Callithrix jacchus: one gene and its partner. The protein of the gene in region 2 binds, or shares a complex with, the protein of the main gene of each other region. Links are inferred from orthologs where the notes say so. Each region holds a gene or a part of one and is shown on either strand. Other genes may lie near its edges. The genes, in order: CXADR and JAML.

What was found.
Region 1: the proteins of JAML (region 2) and CXADR are in contact, whole or in part, in a crystal structure (PDB 3MJ7), measured with the Mus musculus proteins. The link is inferred for Callithrix jacchus from reciprocal best matches to the Homo sapiens genes JAML and CXADR. Residues at the interface, in NP_001005421.3 of Mus musculus: Arg57, Asp59, Ala69, Tyr72, Phe75, Tyr77, Leu80, Val82, Glu120, Arg122, Ser127, Met128, Val129, Met130, Lys131; in NP_001020363.1 of Mus musculus: Thr23, Gly51, Pro52, Asp54, Glu56, Leu58, Ser60, Gln65, Ile66, Val67, Asp68, Gln69, Val70, Leu73, Tyr83, Lys121, Lys123, Lys124, Ala125, Pro126, Gly127, Val128, Asn130.

The regions. Positions count from the first base shown.
Region 1 is NC_133522.1:24,524,234-24,536,193, reverse strand, and holds part of CXADR (coxsackievirus and adenovirus receptor), read right to left. Parts: intron 6,136-11,960; coding exon 5,980-6,135; intron 4,449-5,979; coding exon 4,326-4,448; intron 3,507-4,325; coding exon 3,368-3,506; intron 1-3,367. UniProt on the Homo sapiens protein: Component of the epithelial apical junction complex that may function as a homophilic cell adhesion molecule and is essential for tight junction integrity.
Region 2 is NC_133511.1:17,865,998-17,878,593, reverse strand, and holds the start of JAML (junctional adhesion molecule-like), read left to right. Parts: upstream 1-6,460; 5' UTR 6,461-6,531; intron 6,532-12,596. Other genes in the region: MPZL3 (myelin protein zero-like protein 3), read left to right, coding at 1,671-1,697. UniProt on the Homo sapiens protein: Transmembrane protein of the plasma membrane of leukocytes that control their migration and activation through interaction with CXADR, a plasma membrane receptor found on adjacent epithelial and endothelial cells.

The DNA of each region.
Region 1 (11,960 bases), on a different chromosome or scaffold from region 2:
CAGGCTCAGTGGTTTATACCTGTAAGCCACTTCGAGAGGCCGAGGTGGGCAGATCATGAGGTCAAGAGATCAAGACCATCTGGCTAACAAGTGAAACCTGATCTCTATTAAAAATATAAAAATTAGCCAGGCGCGGTGGCACACGCCTGTAGTCCCAACTATTCATGAGGCTGAGGCAGAAGAATCAGTTGAATCTGGGTAAGGCGGAGGTTTTAGTGAGCTGAGATGATACCATTGCCTGGGCAACAGAGTAAAACTTCGTTTCAAGAAAAACAAAACATTAGCAGAGCGTGGTGGTAGGCGCCTGTAATCCCAGCTACTCGGGAGGCTGAAGCAGGAGAACCGCTTGAACCTAGGAGGCAGAGGTTGCAGTGAGCTGAGATCATGCCACAACACTCCAGCCTGGGGGACAGAATGAGACTCTCTCAAAAATAAATAAATAAATAAATAAAAATTCAAAAAATTAAAAAAAAAAAAAAAGAAAAATTTGTTTTCTATTAAATTTATCTAAAACCTTAGCTGAAAACACTAGAGATTTAAGTTTGCTGGGAATTTAAGCATAAGAATTTTCATTCCACACACTGACAAAGAGCTCAGTTGGCTCTCCATATCCATGGGCTCCACACCTGTGAAGCCAACAAACCACATATAGAAAATTTTTTTTTAAATAACATCTCTACCTTACATGTACAGATTTGTTACTATCCCCTAAACAATACATTATAACAACCATTTACATAGTATTTACATTATAACAGGTATTACAAATAAACTAGAGATAACTCAAAGTATACAGAGGAATATGTGAAGGTTATATACAAACAGTATGCCATTTTATATTATTTTTCTTTCTTTTTTTTTTGAGACGGAGTTTCGCTGTTGTTACCCAGACTGGAGTGCAATGGCAGGATCTCGGCTCACTGCAACCTCCGCCTTCTGGGTTCAAGCAATTCTCCTGCCTCAGCCTCCCAAGTAGCTGGGACTACAGGCGTGCACCACCATGCCCAGCTAATTTTTGTATTTTTAGTAGAGACGGGGTTTCACCTTGTTAACCAGGATGATCTCGATCTCTTGACCTCATGATCCACCCGCCTCGGCCTCCCAAAGTGCTGGGATTATAGGCGTGAGCCACCGCACCCGGCCTCTTTTTCTTTAATAGAGATGGAGTCTTTCCATCTTCCTCAGGTTGGTGACTTGAACTCCTTCCTGGCCTCCCAAAGTGCTGGGACTATAGGCTGAGTCACTGCATCTGGCTACCATTTTATATCAGGAACTTGAGCATCCTTGGATTTTGGTATCCACAGGAGGTCCTCCACAGATACCAAAGGATAACTGTGTATCTGAGATCTTCAGTAAATTTAAAAAATACAGGTATAATCATTTCATTGTGACTTGGTTTTATTACACTTCATAGATATTGATTGCATTTTTTAAAATAACAAATTGAAGGTTTGTGGTAATCTTGTGCCAAGCAAATCTACCAGTACTATTTTTCCAATAGCATGTGCTCACTTCATGTCTGTGTTGCATTTTGGAAATTCTCATAATAGTTCAAACTTTCTCATTATCATAATACCTGTTAGGGTGATCTGTGATCAGTCATCTCTGATGTTACTATTTTAATTGTTCTGGAGCGCCATGAACTATGCCCACATAAGACAACAAACTTAATAAATATTATGTGTATTCTGGCCATTCCCCCACTCTACCCCACCCCTGTCACTCACCTCTCCCTCAGGCCTCTCTATTCCCTGAGACACAACAATATTAAAACTAGGCCACTTAATAACCTTGCAGTGATCTCTAAGTGTTCAAGTAAAAGGAATAGTTAGCATAGCTCTCACTTAAAAAATATGTATTTTATTTATTTATTTTGAGACAGTCTTACTCTGTCACCTAGGCAGGAGTGCAGTGGTGTGATCATAGCTCACTGCAAGCTCAAACTCCTGGACTCAAGCAATCATCAGCATGGCCCTCTTTAAATCAAAACCCAGAAATAATTAACCTTAGCGAGGACAGCATGCTGAAAATCAAGTCTGGTTGAAAGCTAGTTTCTTGCCCCAGCCAAGCCAAATTGTAAATGCAATGAAAAAGTTCTTAAAGTGCTATTCCAGTGAACATGTGAACAATAAGAAAGTGAAACAGTCTTATTGCTGATATGGAGAAAGTTTACTGGTCTGGATAGAGGGTCAAAAGAGTCACAACATTCCCTTAAACCAAAGCCCAATCCAGAGCAAGGCCCTAAGTCTCTTCAATTCTATCAAAGCTGAGAGAGCTAAGGCAGCTGCAGAAAGAAAGTTGGAAGCTAGCAGAGGCTGGTTCATGAGTTTAGGGAAACAAGCCATTTCCATGACATGAAAGTACAAGGTGATGCGACAAAGTGGTGATGAAGAAGCTACAGAAAGTTATCCAGAAGATCGTTGATGAAGGTAACTACATTAAGTAACAGATTTTCAGCAGACAGAACAGACTTCTACTGCAAGAAAACACCATCTAGGCCTTTCATAGCTAAAGAAGTTGGTGTGTGGCTTCAATGCTTTAAAGGACAGGTTGACATTCTTGGTAGGAGCTAACGAAGCCCAGGAGTTCAAGACCAGCCTTGGCAATGTGGTGAAACCCCATCTCTACAAATATACAAAAATTAGTCAGGTGTGGTGGCTCATGCCTGTAGTCCTAGCTACTACTTGGGAAGCTGAAGTGGGAATATTACTTGAACCCAGGGGGCAGAGGTTGCAGTGGGCCATAACTGTACCACTGTACTTCAGCCTGGGCAAACAAGACCTTGTCTTAACAAACAAACAAACAAAACCAACAACCAAAGAAAGAAAGAAATTGCCACAGCCACTCCAACCTTCGGCAGCAGCATCAACACTGAGGCAAAACCTTCCACCAGTGAGACATTAAGAATCATTGAAGCCTTGGCCAGGCGCTGTGGCTCACGCCCATAATCCCAGCACTTTGGAAGGCCAAGTGATCATGAGGTCAAGAGATCGAGGCCCTCCTGGCCAACATGATGAAAACCCGTCTCTACTAAAAAACACAAAAATTAGCTGGGTGTGGTGGTGCACGCCTGTTGTCCCAGCTACTCTGGAGGCTGAGGAAAGAGAATTGCTTGAACCCGTGAGGTGGAGGTTGCAGCGAACTGAGATCATGCCACTGCACTCCAGCCTGGGTGACAGAGCGAGACTCCATCTCAAAACAAAAAACAAACAAAAAAACCAGTAAATGCATTGAGGAGAAGGGGGCCTAAGCTTTTATCCATTTTCCTAAGAAAGCTGCTTTGGATGGTTAATAAAGAACTAATGCTTTAGAGACATGACACACACTTGGTATACATCATCGGTCAGCTCCTGTCTCACATAATTACCTGATATCATGATGAACTTCCTTTTCATATTTTTCTTCTCTGCGCTTTTTATGACAGCAAAAGATGATAAGACCAATGAGCACCAGAGCAAGCAAAATTCCTATAATGGCTCCTGCAATTAGTCCAGCTTTATTTGAAGCTAAAAATAAGAAGTTAATGAGAATTAATAATAAAAAAAAATACACATGTATAGATACTGAAGGTAGGCTACACATTTATAGATTGATTTCATCACATGTATTAACTTTAAGAGACAAATAATTTAGTCTTTTTGATCCAGAGAAAAAATTCATAAGAAGAACTTTCTTCTGAACTGTATAATCTATTTCAAACATAAAAATGATAAAACCTGTCTGAAAGAATTTAATATTCAAAGCTATCTTGATTAGCATAGGAGAATATTCTGAGCTACTCACACTTATAAGTATGGTACGAGGGTTGATTTGACAATTCTTACCTTCTTAATATATCATTGCAATTATGAAGTTTTTAAAATAAAACATCTTTTTCGGGCCGGGCGTGGTGGCTCAAGCCTGTAATCCCAGCACTTTGGGAGGCCGAGGTGGGTGGATTATGAGGTCAAGAGATCGAGACCATCCTGGCCAAAATGGTGAGACACCTCCTCTACTAAAAACACAAAAAATTAGCTGGGCATGGTGGCACGTGCCTGTAATCCCAGCTACTCAGGAGGCTGAGGCAGGAGAATTGCCTGAACCCAGGAGGCGGAGGTTGCAGTGAGCCGAGATCGCGCCATTGCACTCCAGCCTGGGTAACAAGAGCGAAACTCCGTCTCAAAAAAAAAAAAAAACAAAACTTTTTCTAGAAAAGCTAATAATCAAACCAGTGTTCTGATCAAAGGCTGAGTCCCCTTGCCCTTAATACACACTTGCTAACTGAACTAAAGAAGATGGTATAGAGATAACAGAAAGAAAACCACCAAGTGAAAGAAGATACTTACGAGGAACAACGTTTAAACGCAACAGGCACTGATCAGAGCCCACTCTGTTTCTGACTGTACAGCTGTATGTCCCAGAGTACTCAGAAGAGGCATTTTTTACAGATATAATAGATGAAGCCATTTCTATGGAAGGAGGAAAAACAAACTCAGTTTTATAGTATGTATTACTCTCAGCTGTTAGTAAACATAGCCCCTACCAAGTTTGACAATGCAGTTAAAAGCAAGACAGATCAAAGCTGGCTGCAAACAAACTAGCACTGAGCCACACACATGTCTCCAGAATTCAAAGAATCATGTTTCCAGTTCACATGTATCAAGGTGAAAGTAACCATGATCCCCTGCACCACAGGGCCTCAGAGCTGAAGCAGTGTGTTGGCCCACTGTGTGGCTGCTGCAAACCCACTTTGGGGCACATCAGACTATAAAACTATCCCGTTCTACAAAGGATCTTTCATTCAGCAGGAAAACTTACAAAACCTATTTTATCCCCCTCGATGGAAGAAACATTCAAAAAGAAGTCAATGGGGGTCTCCCAAATCGGACTCTTAGCTTGAGAAAAAGAAAGGCAGAGAAAGCCCACTGAAGCCCAGAATGCAGCGGATGGCGGGTGGAGCCTGGTAATCAGTTTAAACTAAGAAGTCAATTACAGCAAATAGGTGAACAGATTCAGCCAATTTGGAACTTTCTAGTTTAGTGTCACACAGATTTTCTTTTATAGACACACCATGGGTAAATTACTATATTTCAATTTAGGCAGAACACTAAAGATCCAACTCTTATTACACTTTGGCCACTAAGTCATAACCATAAACATTTCTCATCAATTAAAAAAAAAAAATCAGCCAGGTGCAATGGCTCATGCCTATAATTTACCCAGCACTTTGGGAGGCTGACGTGGGTGGAGAGCTTGAACCCAGGAGTTTGAGACCAATGTGGGCAACATGGAGAAACTACATCTCTACAAAAAATACAAAAATTAGCAGGGTGTAGTGACACATGCCTGTAGTCTCAGTTACTCTGGAGGCTGAAGAGGAAGGATCACTTGAGCCTGGGAGGTGAAGACTGCAGGGAGCCGAGATCCTGCCCCTGCACTCCAGCTTGGGTGACAGAGTGACACCCCTTGTCTCAGGAAAAAAGAAAAAAAAAAAAAATCTGCCAAAGTAACAAATTATAATATCCTAAAAAATGAAATCATAAAATAGCTCTTCATTTATAATACATGACACTAAATTGATATTAAAAAATACTAAATAATTCCCATGGAAATCATGATTGTTCTATGTAGAAGAGGGAAAGCATTTGGAATCTAAAATATATAAGCAGGCTGGGCACATGCCTCGGCTCATGCCTGTAATCCCAGCACTTTGGGAGGCCAAGGAAGGACTCCTTGAGCCCAGGACTTTGACACCAGCACAGGCAACACAGGGGGATCCTATCTCTACAATTTTTTTTTTTAATTAGCAGGGCATGATGGCATGCACCTGTAGTTCCAGGAGGATGACATGAGCCTGGGAGGGCGAAGCTGCAGTAAGCCATGATTGCAGTGAGCCTGGAAGAGACAGCAAGGCCCTATCTCAAACTACACACACCCCCCCCCTACTATATTTTAGTCCAGATCAACGGCACATGGTACAAATACTATTATCAGCAGTACCTGATAACCATGAAGTGGGCAATTTCTGTGAGTCAGACAATTTTTGCCATTCATACTGTAATGGAAGTGAACCTTCTTTTGGTTCACATTTTAGTTTAAAGTCATTTCCAATTTCTTCTGATCCATCAACATAACATCTTGTACCTGAAGGCTTAACTGAAAAAGAAAATAAATTATGAGTTTACATAAGATAATGGAACTTACTTTTATGATTACAGCCTTGTGCACAACCACTGACTCATTATCAATTGGTCCTGGGTTCAGAATTCACAAAAAAATGAAAGACCACAATAAGTGATCAACATCAGTTTACTCAGCTTTGTCTGAGACAAAACAGAAAAGAATAAGCTCAGAGACAAGCAGCCACTGCATTAGTAGATATGGCAATTTTTCAGGCGTAGCTCGGCGCCCATCCACTCCACGAGGCATACCTGAAAAACCAAGGATGATGCACTTGCTTTTTTCTGGCAAGAGCACTTGAGAATCAAGGAAGCTCCCCCTTCCATTCCTTAGCTATTCTTCTCCATGCTTGACATGTAGCCCCCTGGCAGTATGTCCCAAGTCACACCCCTCTAATGCCATAACCCTGACAATCAGGCAGTTTATAATCAAAAATACTAACAGGGATAATTCATTTAGTGTAGAAAGGACCAACTAACACTCTGCATTTATATCAACTCAAATCCATCCAAAGAGCAGGTTATAAAAAAAAAATCTGTGCTGGGCATGGTGTAATCCCAGCACTTTGGGAGGCCAAGGCAGCAGGGGATCACTTGAGGTTAGGAGTTTGAGACCAGACTAGGTAACATAGCAAGACCCTTTCTCTACAAAAACTTTGAAAAATTAGCTGAATGTGGTGATATGTGGCCTGTTGTCCTAGCTACCTGGGAGGCTGAGGAAGGAGGACTGCTTGAGACCAAGACTTTGAGGCTGCAGTGAAGCTATAATCATGTCACTGCACTCCAGCCTAGGTGACAGAACCAGACCCTGAGTCAAAAAGATATTCACAATCTGGAAATTCATATGTAAAAAAGAATATTAAAATAAAAGGAAATCTGAGATTATATTCCAGGTGTTCCTGGGTAACTGTTTAGGACAGCGACTACCTCCATTACCTGCAACTCACCCCAATCCTGGATTAACACCTCCACATTGCAGGCTCTTCTGCTGAACTTTAATAAGGCATAATATTCACACAATACAGTTAACATGTTAATCATGTGCATTGATTACTTTTAATAAATGGATCTGTATCCATTAAGCACCACTCCAACCCTCTCCGAAGAAAGTTCCCTCATGCTAGTTACAATACATGTGACTCTAAAACCCTGGCCCAAGAAGCAACTGATTAGATTTCTACTGCTGTAGATTAGTTCTTCCAGAATTACATGAATGGAACAATACAGTACATACTGTTTGTTTTCTTTTATCCAGCATACCATTTCTGAGATTGATCCATGTTATTTTACATGTAGTTATTTTAGTATTTCAATGAATGATTATAACACAAGTTTGCTTATTCAGTCACTTGTTAATGAATACTGTGTTTCCAGTTTGGGGGCTACTATGAAAGCCTTGTTAGCCAAACTGACAAGGAGCAAGTGTTTAGTCTATCAAAATCATATGGACCAGTGAGAAAGGCATTATGAGGAACCACAGAATGCCACTGGACAAGAGTAAGGATGCTGAAGGATTCTGAGGAGGTTCTAAGGAAGTAGCCATCAGCTCTCAACCGGCTGTTTCTGAGGAGATATGAGGATTAAACTGGAAGTGGGAGCTGTCAGGAGGCAGGGCCATTTAGTAATTGAGCATTCCAGTAGAGGATGGGTAGTGTAGGTCTGGGAGCACCATTAGGAAGATAGCAATAGTCTATGCTTTGCTACTGCTCTACAGGCTTGGGAGAGACAATGTTTTCATATACTCTGCAGCTGACTTTATCTGTATCTGTCCTTCCAGGCTGATAAATGTCAAGATTGCTTTTTTTCATTTTTAGTTTAAGCTGATTTTCCTTTTTTCAGTCCCAAATGGGTTTTTATTCTTTACTATGAATAAAGGTAAATGCATTTTACAGTTTTGCACTATTAAGAACACTGCTTGAACACTGGCATATGGTTTCCTTTTTCGTAGTAACTGCTGGATCATATGGTGAGTGTAAATATTTTAACCGTGTAAGAAATTGTCAAATTGTTTCCCAAAACTGGCTCAACACAATTTGTCATATCCAGTGGGGTATCTTCAAACTAAGGTTGTCAACTGTGATCTTACTCCTTAGTAAGTCCTTAACAAATTTAACTGTATTCCTCTTCATCTATTACTACTTAACACTTTTAAAATAAGGGTTAACAGACATATTTAACTGCATTGTTGATTTTTCCAAACAAATCTGTTTACTTTTCAAACTGACCAGGTGCTCTGGAGACTCTATCAGTTGGACTTTTAAATAAGTTTTGCAAATTATTTCATCCTGAAAGTCTTCAATGAAATAAGCCTTGTTCTATTTCATTTCTTCAAACTACCAATAAATCCTTTATTGGAATAGATTAGCAGCAAATGAGTAACTGATGCAATGCTTTGTGCATCAAACATCTATGGGTAATATGGAATTCTAAGTCTAACCCTTATCCTTTCTATATCCCTCTTCTCCCACATAACCAACGTATCTAAACATATCTAATAATGGAGAGTTATTTAAAGCTGCTGCTAGGAAGTTCAGGTCCTCACTATAACCATCCACAATAAAAATTCTACCAACATGGGTTTCTGAGGGACACTTTGGAGCAGCCCACCTACTTTCCACTGGGAAGAGAAAGTACGAGTCTTTTACATGCCAACATCCAACCATTATACCTCGGGGAAGATTAATCCTTTTTTTTTTTTATTTCCAGTAATGGCTATAAGCAAGGAAGATTAATTCTTAACCCATGGTCCTCTGCTGGAACAGAAGAAAACCACAAAGAGAGCACAAATAAAGTCTTGTCCCTAAATGTTTGGTCTGGGCTTCCCACATACCTGACCACTGTCCTCAGAACATCTGCCTACATGATCATTAACAGAGTCAATCGTCCTCAGATAAGGGTAAGTGACTATCGAGTTGAAGATGGACATGGTATCCCATCAATTTAGTAATGCTCTGCTCTATACATGTATTACTGCATCATCTTTCCATGCTAGTGGCCTATACCAGTCTACAGGAAGTACACTCTAAATCTCTACATGAGACAAGAAATGCTTTTATCATGATATCATCCTTCCAAAAATACAGTTTCTGACTGGTTCAAAAATACCCTGATTCCAGGAAAAATCTATCAATAGATGCTAAAATCAAAAGGCAAATGTTTAAATGAGAAACAACATAGTCTCAAAGTATTTCCCTCAAGACAGTTTTTAATTAGAAAGGAAAAAAATAACTATAGAGTGGAGAAACCCACCAGATAAAACTTAAAGTAAATGATCACGATTAACAATAAGACGTGATATCATTGCCCCTGGACATGACTGGCGGAGATCAAGGAGATATAAGTGCAGTGTGGATTCTAGATACAATCCTAGTACAAAAAGGACATTCCTGGGAAACAGTAAAATTCAAATCGGGTCTGTAATTCAGTTAATAGTATCCTATCAAGGTTAATTTCTGTTTTGATAATTATGATTTTGTAAGATGTTTACATTAGGGGAAATGAGATGATGGGTCTACTCTCAGAAACTTCCCAGTATTTTTGCAACGTTTCTATAAAACTAAAAATTATTTCAAAATAAAAAGTAGTGAGGGGCCCTGCCCTGAATCAGTGGTTTGCAAATCCCTTAGGACCTTTAAAGCCAGTGATGACTGAGCTGCTACACTTACTGTTGCCACTGTGATCTGGTGGCATGCTGCAGTGTGAGTAACCACATATGTCCAGGAATGTTAACTGCATGTTCTGCTCTTCAAAACAACTCTGTCTCTTTAGATCAAAAGGTTTCAATAAACTGGCCCTTTCAGAGCTCCAGGGGAAGATGCTGGTGATATGTGGCCACAATAGTAACTTTCTATCAATTCTCTTTGTTATCATTTCCCACTTCCGCTGCTTCTTTACTGAGCTGCATCCACATACACTTTTGCTGTGTCTGAAAGAGCAAGGCAGGCATGGCAATGGAGCAAGCTATAGCAACAAGCTTCCCCTCACATCCAGAAGACTAACAGTCATCTGTCTGGGTGAATGGCCATATAACACACCCGCTCAATGAATGAACTGGCATTACACTGTGAATGCCATGAGGGCAACTACTTCAGATTTCCCACCAAAGAACCAAAGCATTAGACAGAGCCACTACCAACCAGTGACTCGAATGAGCTCCAGTGACCACCACTCAGTTGGGTCACTAGAGGGCACTTCATCTTATCTTTTGCCCCAGATTATCCAGGCAGACTTTCCAGGCAAAACTAATAGATAAGCTTCAATCCCATTCTCACCTTCAAGAGAATACAATTCTGGTGGTTTCTCCCAGCAGCGGTCATGACTCATCTAAAAACATGGAAAAAAGGGCTACAAGAAATCCTCTGGCTCTGACACAACCTCGCCCAGATCAGAGCACCAGTCATCCTTCCCCGCTTTCTCCTCTCATCTCCAATTCATCCCTTTTGTCTCTCCCTGGTTTGAATTCGAGGCTCACTTGGCTATAAAAGGAGCGACTCAGGATGAACTATGTCAATGCTTCACACTTATCCATTCTCAGGAATGAGATGCTGGGGTTGGAAGTTTTATGTAAAAAGGCCATTTCTACTGCTGGGCAGTCATGGCTCCAGACATGAGTGCGCCGAGCCACATTATGTGCCACCCCTGCCACCCAACTCAGGTTCCTTTTGGGATATGTGCTGCTGTATGCTGCAATGATCTCTTCAGTTGAGAACTGCAAATGTGACCCTGAAGCTGGTCCCACAGGATCCAGACAATACACAAACACACAAATATGCTCTCCACAACTCTTCTGGGAATATGTGCCAACCCCATTCATCCCAGTGTACCTGTCCCATCAAACAGGGGTTTCACAATAAATAATTCTGATAATCAAGTGACTTCTGCTTTGCATATCATGGACCAGTTAATATTCTGTATACATCTTCCAACTCAACACTTTCTGGAGAGCAGTGTTAGAAGAAAGTATAGTCAGGGTTATAATCTCAGGAATTCCTGGGTCTGTGGTAAGAATTCAGACCAGGTGTTAATCTTTTATTTGCTTATACATTTATAAAAAAGAAAAGCTACTCCATTTTACGCAATGAAGTCACAGAAAGTTCGAATTTCCAACATTACCATATTTCTTTTTCTGGTTCCCTGTTCTTCAGATTCCCTTACTTTTACACCACAAGAAATATTTTTAGTTAGTGTGATTCAGAATGATACATTTCACCAGGATCCCTTCAGGTGCCCACTCAATGATGCTGCTGGCAGATGACTGTCTTATCTACCAAGACAACCCATGAATTTACCATTAAGGTATACAAAAATCCCCACTCTTTTTCCTAGTTTCTAGGAAAAGTAGTTAAGTGCTAGGTCTACTAGAAGGAGTAGTTAAGTGTTGGGTGCCCAAGCCATCTTGAACATTGTTCTTTAAAGAGTATTCTTATAATCCCAGCACTTTGGGTGGCCAAGGTGGGTGGATCGCCTGAGGTCAGGAGTTCAAGACAAGCCTGGTCAACATGGTGAAATCCTGTCTCTACTAAAAATACAAAAATTAGCCAGGCGTGATGGTGCATGCCTGTAATCCCAGCTACATGGGAGGCTGAGGCAGGAGAATTGCTTGAACTTAGGAGGAAAAGGCTGTAGTGAGCAGAGATTGTGACACTGCACTCCAGCCTGGGCAACAAGGACTCAATCTCAGATAAGATAAAATAAGACAAAAATAAAGAGTCTTCTTTACAATATTCTACCCTACCCCTAATCAGTTCTCTAAACAGAAGGAATGAGGTAAATGTTGATATGGGAGTCCTGTCCTGAGCAGGT
Region 2 (12,596 bases):
TTAGTAAAGAGATTTTGGTATCCTGGGAGTCAAGTGAAGAAGTGTTTCTAGGAAAAGACAGTGATTAACTGTGTCATTTGCTGTGGAGTCAGGTGAAGTAAAATGAGAACTGATAATTGATTATTGGATGATTTGGGAATATGGAGGTCATTGGTGACCTCGGCAAAAGGAAATTCAGTGGAATAGTGGGAATGAAAGCCTGTCTGCGGTGGGGTCAAGAAAGATTGCAGAAAAATACATTGGAGACAGTGGGTATAAAGAACTCTTCCAAGGAATTTTACTGCGAAGGAATACAGAGAGACAGGCATTACATAGAGGGTGTTGTCATGGGTGGCTTTTCTTTTAAGATGGGAGAAATTGAGCACGTTTGCATGCAGATGGGAATTATGTAGTAGACAAGGAAAAATTGGTGCTACAAGAGAAAGAGGAGAGGATTGCTGGGGTAATGCTACGATCTAGCATAAACGGAGATGTCGGCCTTAGATAAAGGCAGGGAGAGTGCGTAAGAACAATAGGGAAGGCCAAATTGATGGGTCAGGATGCGGCGGAGCGGCCATGTATGATGGAGCTTATGGAAATTCCCTACTGACTGCTTCTTTATTCCGGCGAAAGCAGGCCTGTCAGCTGAGAATGATGGGAAGAGGAGGTGTTGGAAGTTTAGGGAAAGAAGGAAGGGTATGAAATAGTCATGAAGGAGAATGAGTAGACCAGAGAAATGTGGTATGCCAGATAGTACTAATGGCCCACTTGAAGTTAGAAGTAATGAACATGAGTTTGGATAATAATAGTGGTAACAGGAACTAGTCTTGATTGAGTGCTTACAAAGTGCCAGGCACAGTGCTAAGTAATTTTCATGTATTATCTCATTCAATTCTCATAACAGTTCTATGAGGTGTATTTTTATTATTCCATTTTACAGATGAGGAAACTGAGGCTTAGAGAAGTTGATAACTTTATCCAAGGTCATGAAGCTAGCAGGAGGTGAACTCAGTGGTAGATTGACACCTAGTCTAAACTCCTAACCACAGATTTGTACATTTCTGCAAGAGAGTGAGGAAAAGATTGCTGGGTGATTCCAGTGATGTTTGTAGTGTTAAGAAAATGTGCCTGTGTGTGGAGGTTTTAAAAAATATTCACGGCCAGGCGCGGTGGCTCAAGCCTGTAATCCCAGCACTTTGGGAGGCCGAGGCGGGTGGATCACGAGGTCAAGAGATCGAGACCATCCTGGTCAACATGGTGAAACCCCGTCTCTACTAAAAATACAAAAAATTAGCCGGGCATGGTGGCGTGTGCCTGTAATCCCAGCTACTCAGGAGGCTGAGGCAGGAGAATTGCCTGAACCCAGGAGGTGGAGGTTGCGGTGGGCCGAGATCACACCATTGCACTCCAGCCTGGGTAACAAGAGCGAAACTCCATCTCAAAAAAAAGTAAATAAAATAAAAAAATTAAAAAATATTCACAAAGGGAAAGGAAACCACTAGGGCTTCAGAGCAGAAATTAGCCCCATAGACACCAATTATATTGAGGTCCTGTGAAACTCCATGGGAATTTAGGTGTATTGAGTTAGTGGCATTTCACTGTGGTTGTGTCCCAAGCCAGGTTCCATTTGGTCTTTGCCTAAATTCCGACTGTGGAATTGTGTTTCACACCTACTGTTTTTCCCCCTCCAGGATTCAGACTATGAAGAGACATATTGATGAAAGTCTGCATGTCATAAGAAGAGTCACCTAATAACGGGAAGCATCCCATTCCACTGGCAGCTACGTCCTGTCAGAGAAGTGGAGCCGGGACCATAGTGATGGACAGTCCTGGAGATCATCAGTGAAGCCTTTCGGAACCGCTTATTTATTGAATAAATGTTTTGTTGTATTTATAAACTGTGCAAGAACTCTCATAAGAGACTCATGACTTCCCCTTTCAAGAAATTATGCTGTAATTGAATGAAGAAATTCTTTTCCTGAGCAAAAAGATGCTTTTTGCTTCATGTTTGCTCTGGGATGTATTACGTTTTCCTCCAACTGTTCGAAGGAGAATCCTGCATGTAGGCCGCACCGCTGATGCCAGAATCACTTTCTAAATGAAGTGGCGCTTGTGGCTTCCTGATTTGTCACCAGACAAAACGTTTGCTTAGGATGGTATTCTTTGTTTTTTGCTCCAGGTACACTTTCAGCTGTGAGTAGGATAGGACATACGCTCGTTGGTTTAACCACCTCAACCTCAGTTGTTTTTGGGTAACTTAGAGTGTATACTCTCAGTTTCCTTAAAGTTGATGGGATCAAATCTTTGGTTTGCTTTGACTGGGTTTTGAAAGTATTAAATACAATGTCATCAATTTACAATTCAGGAAGGGAATAGCGAGGTAGAATAATTATTTTCTTTAGTCTTGCTGGTACAGTTTGGGCCAAGGAGTCTTTTATAGCTACTACTTTTCAAGTCAGAGGCAAGAAAAATTCTTTACAGGTTTTTAGTAGCGGCTTATAGAGTATTTCAGGAGTTCTTTGCGAATATATCATGTTTTCACTTGTATTGTTTTTCAAAACTTTGTTGATTTCTGAAATGTGCCAACTATGAGTAAACTATGAGGACTTGTAAGCTGTTTTTACATAATATTTGAGATGAGGAAGTGAGATTGTGCATAGCATAGTTCTCCTTTCTGTTCTCAGTGCCTTGTAACAGCTTACTCCATTCTGCTATAACAGCTTGTTTCAAATTTTAATTTACATGGGACTTTTTTTTTTTGAGATGGAGTTTCGCTCTTGTTACCCAGGCTGGAGTGCAATGGCGCGATCTCGGCTCACCGCAACCTCCGCCCCCTGGGTTCAGGCAATTCTCCTGCCTCAGCCTCCTGAGTAGCTGGGATTACAGGCACGCGCCACCGTGTCCAGCTAATTTTTTGTAATTTTTAGTAGAGACGGGGTTTCACCATGTTGACCAGGATGGTCTCGATCTCTTGACCTCGTGATCCAATTTTTATAAGCCCTGAAGGCGTATAGATAGCATATCAGTAAAGATGGATAGTGCATATATAAACAGTCCTCTGTAATAGTGATCGGGTTCACTTCTCAATTATGAGAGACAAAAATTATCCCCTCACTGGTCTCTATTCTTTCAACAGGTTGATCCCTTTTCATGGTTTTCATTAGATAGTTCAGGAAGTTTCCATCTTACAGCATTTTAGAGTGTATATGTTAGTTTAAAAACCACTTTTCTCTCTCAATCTCTCTCTCTCTCTCTCTCTCTCTCTCTCTCTTTTTTTTTGCCAAGATCTAATTTAAAACATGTGGGTTGTTAGATCTGTCTCATGGAGTTGGCCTGGTCTCTACTATTAACCTGGTCCACAGATCGGAAAATCTGTTTAGTTGGAGGATATCGTGATTGACTCTGGTCACGCGAGGAAGTAGAAGGGCACAGACAGGACCGGCAGCTGACATTTCCAGTGGTTACACCTCATGGTACTTTGGGCTGCTTGTTAACTTATGCGGTTGTCTCAGGCCAATCTAACGTGACCATGTCTGACACCTCAGCAGAGAGAGGAAAGGAACTGGAGCAAAGAGAGTAAATAATTCAAATCTCTAGAGATTTGAAGATAGAGATCTAATTGTGAGGGGAACTTTCTCGGTGTCCTCATTTCTCCGAGAAAGAGATAATGTCACAGGAACTCACTGAAAGCCACATCCCATTAAATGAGGAACCAGTTTTGGCCGGGCCTTCTTGTAAAGTCCTTGCAGGTGTGTTGTGAAGATCACTGCCGGGTGGTATGTTTGTAGACTGACACCTAGTCTAAGCTCGAGGTAGCTGGTGCTCTGCGAGTACTTAGTCATGTTCTTTTGCAGCCTTAATCGTGACTTGAACTAGTCCCTTCCTTTTAAAAACTGAACAATAGAGTCCTTCATGGTAAGAGAGTACGTTGACAATTTAGTTTACCTAATTTACTTGACTTCATGGGTTTGTAGTCACATCTGTCATTGGCTGCTATCATTTTCCTTCTTTATCCCTTATATTGAGATTTGGGTTACAGCTTTTTATTCTTCAAAGGGTCCCAAAGCAGTGTACAGATGCCTGCCTTCTTTAAGGATGAAAGGAAGAGAAAGTGGTTTACTGTTTACCTGTCTCACCTATTGTTGAATAACTTCTAAGGTGCTATTTTGCTCACTTTGCTACTCCATGGGCACTTGTCATACCCCTGGAAACCAGCTTCATTTAGAAAGGGAACTTAGTTCAGAAGGGGTTGAAAACCTTTCAGAATTTTTCTTTAGCTGCTGAAGTTTTACTTAGCTGCTGAAGTTACATTACCTGGAGTTTTAGGCATTAAGCTCTTAATTCTATTACAAAATGTGAACTTGTCAATTGCTTTGTGTTCTCCATGTGACCTGCTACTTCAGGCTTCTTGGGGAACATCTTAGTCCTCTGCAGCTCCTGAACTCGGCACTGGTGCTTCAGGAGAGAAGGTAGCACGTCTTTGTTAAAAACAAAACGGAACAAAACAAAATGACCCTTCTGGAGGCCACATCCTGAATATGAACCTTCTACTAAGTCACTCAGTTATGGTTCTACAGGGAAACTGTAAGGAGACCATAAGGAGTGGGCCAAGACTGTTATATAATTGCACAACTTGAAACTTCGCTGCCAGAAGAGGCAGCTCCGTTCCTGTGACTCCAGTGTTGGGCTGTTAACTGCCGCATCTCATTGCCTTTTTTGTTTTTTGTAGGAGGGTAGGCACTGTTGGGGCATATGCACAGATATTGTAACTCTTGGTATCTTTACTGCATCATAATTAATAAAGTTCTTTGCTCCCTTCGGCTACCTTTTTGTGTGTGGTTATCTACATATAAGGTGGGAGTTGTCATGTGAAAGAGATGGGGGTTTGTGGTGTTAAGAGAAACTTGAACTGAATTAAATTGAAAAGAATTTAATTGAGTACAGAATGATTTATGAATCGGGCAGTCCGCTGAGCCACAGTAGGCTCAGAGACTCCAGCGCAGCCATGTGGCAGAAGATTTATGGACAGAAAAAGGAAAGTGATGTACGGAAAACGGAAGTGAGATACAGAAACAGCTGATTGGTTACAGCTCGGGGTTTGCCTTATTTGAACAGTTTGAACCATTGGCTGTCTTCGGTTGGCCAAACTCCATGACTGGCACAAGAGTAGACTACAGTCTGTATACTATTCCATTTAGGTTACAGTTCATGAGGTACAGAAAAACCTTTAGGCCAAACTTAAAATATGTGAGGAGGCAGCTTTAGGCTAAGCCTGATTTAATAGTGGTTTTCACCATTATGCAACCAGTCACGTCTGGGCTGTACCCCAGCAAGAACCTGCAGAGATTCCGTGGAGTGCTGGAACCAGCTGACATAGCAAGAGCTGATTACAGGCTGAGTATTCCTAATCTGAAAATACAAAACCTGAAATACTCCAAAGTCTGAAACATTTAGTGCCAACATGATGCTCCAAAGAAATGGTTATTGGAGCATTTTGGATTTTCAGATCAGGGATGTTCAACTGGTATATTTTTGGCAAATATTATAAAATCTGAAAAAAATAAGAAATCTGAAACACTTCTGCTCCCAAGCATGTTGGATAAGGGATACTCCACCCATATTAAATTTTTAGGAATTTTGCAGGCCAGTTGGTAGCTTGAAATAGGCCATGACGAAGATATTTATGCTGTGGAGATAGCTGGCTGTCCAGCACACAAGTTCTCAAGGACCACGTAGCATAGTACTTGGGAGCAAACATTCAACAGCTTTTCAGATGATACAGGACAAGTTCCATAAGATGAGTCTGCCCATGTCTAGGTCAAGATTGAAGATGTGTCCATTGAAAACACCTATTTTGAAGTGGTAACTGAGAGGTATCTTGAAGTGAAGAAGCCTTGAGTTCTTATCTAGGATATCTAAGTCACCCAAGAGGTTCTCTGTGAGAATAAATTGCTTCTGGTATTCTGGAAAGGCTGATATCACATGACCAGAAGAAACTACCATGTGTAGGTGGTGAGCTGGAGGACTGGGCAGGCAGATCTTTGGAAGCAGGGGTTGGGTGATTGCCTGGCAAGGTTGCACCTCTGTTTTGAGAGGAAAAATAGAAGAGGTTGCTGTATCTTAAACACAGAATATTTTTTGTTAATATTAAATTTATTGTATTTTGTTTTCATGAAACGGATTTCTTTCTCAGCACCTATTATATGCCTGGTGTCATTCAAGTTTTTACCCTCAGAGGCAGGAGATGGCACCTTGTCATCTAAAAGAAGAGATGGCCCCTGAAGAGGTCTGAGTGTAAGGTTCACCTCAGTGTGTTGAATTTGTCGCCTCCTTTTAGAATGAGAGTATACATAAAAATTGGGTAATGGGTTAGAAGACTGAAATGAGAAGCTTAGAGTTCCTGTTTGCATCTCTGCAGCCACTTCAGAAGGCACGTGTTTGGTGGCTCTGACCTAACCTAGAGTGCTCACAGAAGTCTTTCGGTTGAGCTTGGGAACTGCAGCTGCAGGAAGATTTCAGTGCATCGCTTCTCCTGGGTGCTCATCATCTTGGGTAAGCAGTCGCTTTGAATTTCTTAAGCCATTATTTGAACTTTTCTCATTCAGAAGTGTGCCAGTTCTGAAGGCTCGTTGAATTGGCAGTCTCTCAGGATTGTGAATTGCAGAACTCTTGATCTCTGCAGGGGATGTCATAGAGCAGTCTAGTGGGTGCTGTTTCAATTACTGTCGTGTGGAGTAACTTAGGTGAATCTCCTCAGCAAAAAGAGGAGCAAAGTTTGCTCATAATGAGTATATGACGATGATGATGATAAGGCTTCAGCTTTTAAGTCATCTCTAGGTTTTGGTAGAGCCATGACTGGCTGTCCTTGAGCTCATGGCAGAGCTCTTCCTTCACTGTTTTTATTTTTAGAAGACAGTTTTAAATTTTATTTTAAAACAAATTTTATTATGTGTGTTTAAGATATAGAACATAATGCTGTAGATACCTGTAGATAGTATAAAGTTTACTATGGTGAAGCAGATTAATATAGCCATCATTTCACGTAGTTACACCACTGTTTTCTTCTCCCCATTACAGACAAGCCAATATTTAACCTTTAGGAGCCTGAGACTTAAACCTCCCAAGAGATCTAGGCTACTGGCCATACTTATTATACCTCAGCACAGCCCTGACCTTGGGAAAGGCCAATGTATGAAGGTTTAAATATAACCCAGTCTGAAGAAGGAAGCAGGAGTAAGGACCTCCAGGGTCCCATTCGTGTAGAAGGCTAACTGATGTGACCTGGACTGTGTTACAGAAGCCGTGTAACCTACCAGTCTGTATTTAGTGGCTTAAGAAGGAAAAATGAAGGCATATTTTAAGAGGCATGGCGTAGAGTGGTTACACGGACTCGTATACCTAAAAACGCCTGAGAGCCCAGAGCTGCACAGCAGTGCGCAGAGAGATTGAGGGGACTTGGCATTGCAGGTGGACAACACTCTTTGAGTAAGGCAAGGCTGTGCTGTTGTTCATTTTCTCAGTGGTTAGTTGTCCTTGCTAGGGACAATCTCTGACTAAGAGACAGCAACTCTCCCTTATTTTGTCTCATGATATTGTAATTTTGGGAGGTACGAATCTTATGTGGCATGCTGCTTTTCTAAAGATTTTTTTTTTCTGTAGTACCTGCCAAGGAGAGCAATTCCCCTACATTGTTTAGTAACTTTTAAAAATTGACACATAATAATTACACATATTTATGGAGTGAGTGCCCAGGGATGTTTTCATACATACAATGTATAGTGATCAGATCAGGCTAATTAGCAGATCCATTGCCTCAAAGATTTTTTTCATTTATTATGTTAGGAACGCTCAATATCCTCCTTCTAGCTATTTGAAACTATGTATCATTGTTAACCTTAGCCATCTTTTTTTTTTTTTTTTTGAGACAGAGTTTCGCTCTTCTTACCCAGGCTGGAGTGCAATGGTGCGACCTCTGCTCACCACAATCTTCGCCTCCTGGGTTCAGGCAATTCTCCTGCCTCAGCCTCCCAAGTAGCTGGGATTACAGGCACATGCCACCGTGCCCAGCTAATTTTTTTTTGCATTTTTAGTAGAGACGGGGTTTCACCATGTTAACCAGGATGGTCTCCATCTCTTGACTTCGTGATCCACCCGCCTCGGCCTCCCAAAGTGCTGGGATTACAGGCTTGAGCCACCGCGCCCGGCCAGCCTTAGCCATCTTAATGTGGTATAGGACACTCAAACGTATTCTCCCTATCTAGCTGTAATTTTGTTTCCTTTAGTAAATCTCTCCCTATGTCCCTTCTCCCCTAGCATCCTCTGTTCTACTTTTTACTTCTGAGATCAACATTTTTCACTTCCACATATAAGTAAGACCACTCAGTGTTTAAGTTTCTGTTCCTGGCTTATCTAACTTAACAGAATGGAATTCTGCTACTGCGGATTCCAGTTCCATTTATGTTACTGCGAAACACAGGATTTTATTCTTTTTAATGCTAAAATAATATTTCATTGTGTACATAGGTCACATTTTCTTTACCCATTTATCTGTTGTTGGACACCTAGATTGATTCTGTATCTTGGCTATTGCAATAGTGCTGCAGTCAACATGGGAGTGTAGAGGTCTCTTCAATATACCGATTTCCTTTTCTTTGGATAAATGTCCAGTGGTGGGATTGCTAGGTCATATGGTAGTTCTATTTGTAGTTTTTTTGAGGGACCTCCATATTGTCTTGGGTAGTGACTAGCCAGGGCCGGTGTCACGGGAGGTAAGGGTATTTACCAAGAAAGTCGTAAGTAAAGAAAGGGAGATTTATTAGAGAAGGTATGAAATATGTTGCAAGATTGCCATGGGCATCGCAACAGGAAAGGGCTGTCTACAGAGAGGCAGGGACTAGAGAGAAGTTTTACAGGGTTGTGCTAGAGGGGGCTACCTGTGGAATGAGGTCACTGTGCCCACAGAGGTCGTTGTGGCCTTGGGTTGTTTGATTTGCTGACTCTCAGTACAGTTGTTCATTGTTCTTCCCCACCTGGGGCCCTCGCCAACTTGGGGCCCCTTCCTCATTGTCGCTTACTTATCAGGACACTACATTCCACCCCTGGCAGAGCAACAATGACAAATCTTGGGCATTGGGCAGAGGTCTCATCTTCCAGCTGCTTCCTGCTGACCAGGGGCATAGCGTTCTCCCTACCTAGAATTGTTGATCTGTTAAGGGACCCTGTGGATCACTGTCCTGGATTGTGGGATATAGGACATTAGATTTTGCTGGAGGAAGGGTCTCATCAGAGGAGGGAGCATGTGAAGGCAAAACTGGTATCCAGCTGAATTCAGGGGAGACTTGTAAAGGTAGCAGCCATCAATAGGGAGAGACTGATGTCCCGTTCACAACATCATCTGAAGGCGAAAGTGCTGAATTCCAGAAGGTAAAATTTTGTTTCTTAAGCCAGTTACTGAAAATGTGAAGAAACGTCTTTTGCAGTGTGACTGTTTTTCCTTATTGAAAGCCCTTTTAGATAACCTGGAAGTTTCTTGATGAAAAGCATTTGAATTTAAATAGACACAGCATAGGGAACAATTTTGGACTATTATACCTCAGTTACATACAACATTCTTTTAATAAATTTCTTTCATGAATTTTCTCATGGCTTATACCATGTATGACATGCTTAGACTTTATGACTTCTCCTAAATATATATTTTTTTCTTTTTCTTTTTTGAGATGGAGTTTCACTTTTGTTGCTCAGGCTGGAGCGCAGTGGTGTGATCTTGGCTCACCACAGTCTCTGCCTTCCACATTCAAGTTCAATTCTCTTGCCTCAGCCTCTCAAGTAGCTGGGATTTCAGGCACCTGCCACCATGCCCTGCTAATTTTTTGTATTTTTAGTAGTGATGGTGAAACCATGTTGGCCAGGCTGGTCTCGAACTCCGGAACTCAGGTGATCCGCCTGCCTTGGCCTCCCAAAGTGCTGGGATTACAGGCATGAGCCACTGTGCCCAGCCAACATCCTTGTTTCTTAACAATTGGTCATTTTACTTTACAACAAGAATTTACAACACAAGATCCTTTCTTACATAAAATCTCTTTCTTTATAACTCTCCTTACCAAAAATATCTCTTCACTTTTATAACCTTTTTTCTTCTTCTTCTTCTTCTTTTTTTTTGAGACAGAGTCTTACTCTATGCCCAGGCTGGAGTGCAGTGATGCAATCTCGATTCACTGCAACCTCTGCCTGCTGGGTTCAAGTGATTCTCAGGCCTTAGCCTCCCAAGTAGCTGAAACTACAGGTAGATGCCACTATGCTTGGCTAATGTTTGTATTTTTAGTAGAGACTGGGTTTTATCATGTTGGGTAGGCTGGTCTTGAACTCCTGACCTCAAGTGTTCTACCACCTTAGCCTCCCAAAGTGCTGAGATTACAGGCGTGAGCCACTGCACTTGGCTTTCACCTTTATGTTATTCTTTATAACTCTCTTATTTCCTGGTTCCTTTTACCTTGTTTTATATATAACCTCTTTTTTTTTTTTTTGATATGGAGTCTCACTCTATTGTCTAGGCTGGAATGCAGTGGCACAGTCTTGGCTCACTGCAATTTCTACCTCATGGGTTCAAGCAATTGTTCTGCCTCAGCCTCCCAATTAGTTGTGACTACAGGTGTGTGCCACCACACCCAGCTAATTTTTGCATTTTTTAAAGTAGAGACAGGGCTTTGCCATGTTGGCCAGGCTGGTTTTGAACTCCTGACCTCTGGTGATCTACCTGCCTTGGCCTCCCAAAGTGCTGGGATTACAGGAGTGAGTCACCATGCCCAGCCTATATATAACCTTTAAGTAATCTTTGAATTAGACAAAAAATATTTTCCTTTTGTTAGGAAGTTAAGGTTTATACTGCGTGTTGCTGTGTGAGTTCTGTGAAAGGGGCACAAATGAAGAGATTATCCCCCCTCAAGAGATTGCTGGGTTAAATTTCTTGCTAGGGTGTGCCTGAATAAGTGTGGCTCTTTTTAAACCCCTGAGGTAGGACTATCTAGGTTGAACCTATTGGTTAAAGATTTCGGTAGCTTTTCTGGGAGAAAAAGAGATATTAGAGGGAAAGATGAATTCAGAAGTTGGGTAAACATTAAGCAGGCACCCATCTTGGAAAGGATATAGTTGCCTCAAAGGGGTGTGGGGCATTTGGATATTACCAGGGACTGGTAGGGGAATGGTAATTAATCCCTTAAGTAATATGAAGGGGTATGGACTTTTCCTTTTGGAGGGAGGGGGTGCCACTTGTTCTCCTTACTCTACAGGGTTTGGAGGAGAGTTGCTCAGAGAAGATTAGTATAGAGTCGCTACAAGTCACTTCTGTAGCCAAAGGATAAGTCCAAAATGTCTAAAGGCAAAATCTTTACTTGCTAATAGAGGGGAGACGCCACTTTCCAAACAGGTCACAATAAAGACAGCATGAGGCCAACCAAATCTGTTTCTCTCTCCTCCTTTTTCTGTTGTTTACTAAAAGGTAAACAAAAATCTTTCATTATTTTAAAACATTACATAAAAATCTTGTTTAAAAGAGAAAGCCAAATTTCACCTTTGCATTAGTATATTATTAATGTTAAACATAATTCTTAATAAAATCTTATAAACAAATCTATACAATCATAATCAGTTTGACCATAAGGTAAAATGTCCATAAACCTCTCCTAAGTCTTTACAATTTTCTGTTGAACAAACAAATTCTCTGGAAAGCCATTATTGAGACACATGGGCCCAGATTCTGGCCCTACATCAGTATGCTTTTATTTCAGTGTTTGACCTATGGAAAAACTAAATGATTCCTTATGCCCACAGAACTTTTCACAAGATTAACCCTTCACAAATCATTTTCAACACGCTTAAATCATCAGTTTTGTACCATTACTCTTTTTTGTTGTTGTTGAGAAGGGGTCTCGTTCTGTTTTCTAGGCTGGCTGGTGTGCAGTGGTACAATCTTGGCTCACTGCAACCTCCACCTCCCGAGGTCAAGTGATTCCTCTGCCTCAGCCTCCCAAGTAGCTGGGATTATAGGCACCTGCCACCATGCCTGACTAATTTTTGTATTTTTACAAAATACAAAAATTGGGTTTGTCATGTTGGCCAGGCTGGTCTTAAACTCCTGACCTCAAGTGGTCTGCCCACCTCAGCCTCCCAAAGTGCTGGGATTACAGGCGTGAGCTACCATGCCAAGCTGTCCCGTTACTCTTTTAGGTGAGGCCAATACTTAAAACCCTCTGAGCTAGACAAAATTATGTTCTCTTTTACAGAAACCATACTCACATGCCTTCTTATAACCTCCCACCGAGAACACATTCTTTATTTACACTGTCTTTATTTTTTATTTTATTTACACTATCTTTATTTTGTATTATATTTACACTGTCTTTATTTTTTATTTTATTTATACTGTCTTTATTTTTAAATTATATTTACAGTCTTTTTTTAATCATTAGAGTCATGTGACCTAAAAGAGATTAAAGTTTCAATTTTTCTGATAATAGGTTTGATTTTAGTTTCCTTAAGCCAATTAATTAGAGCTTTTATATAAATACTATACACACAACACATATAAATACACAGACAGACAGAAATGGAGAATCAAG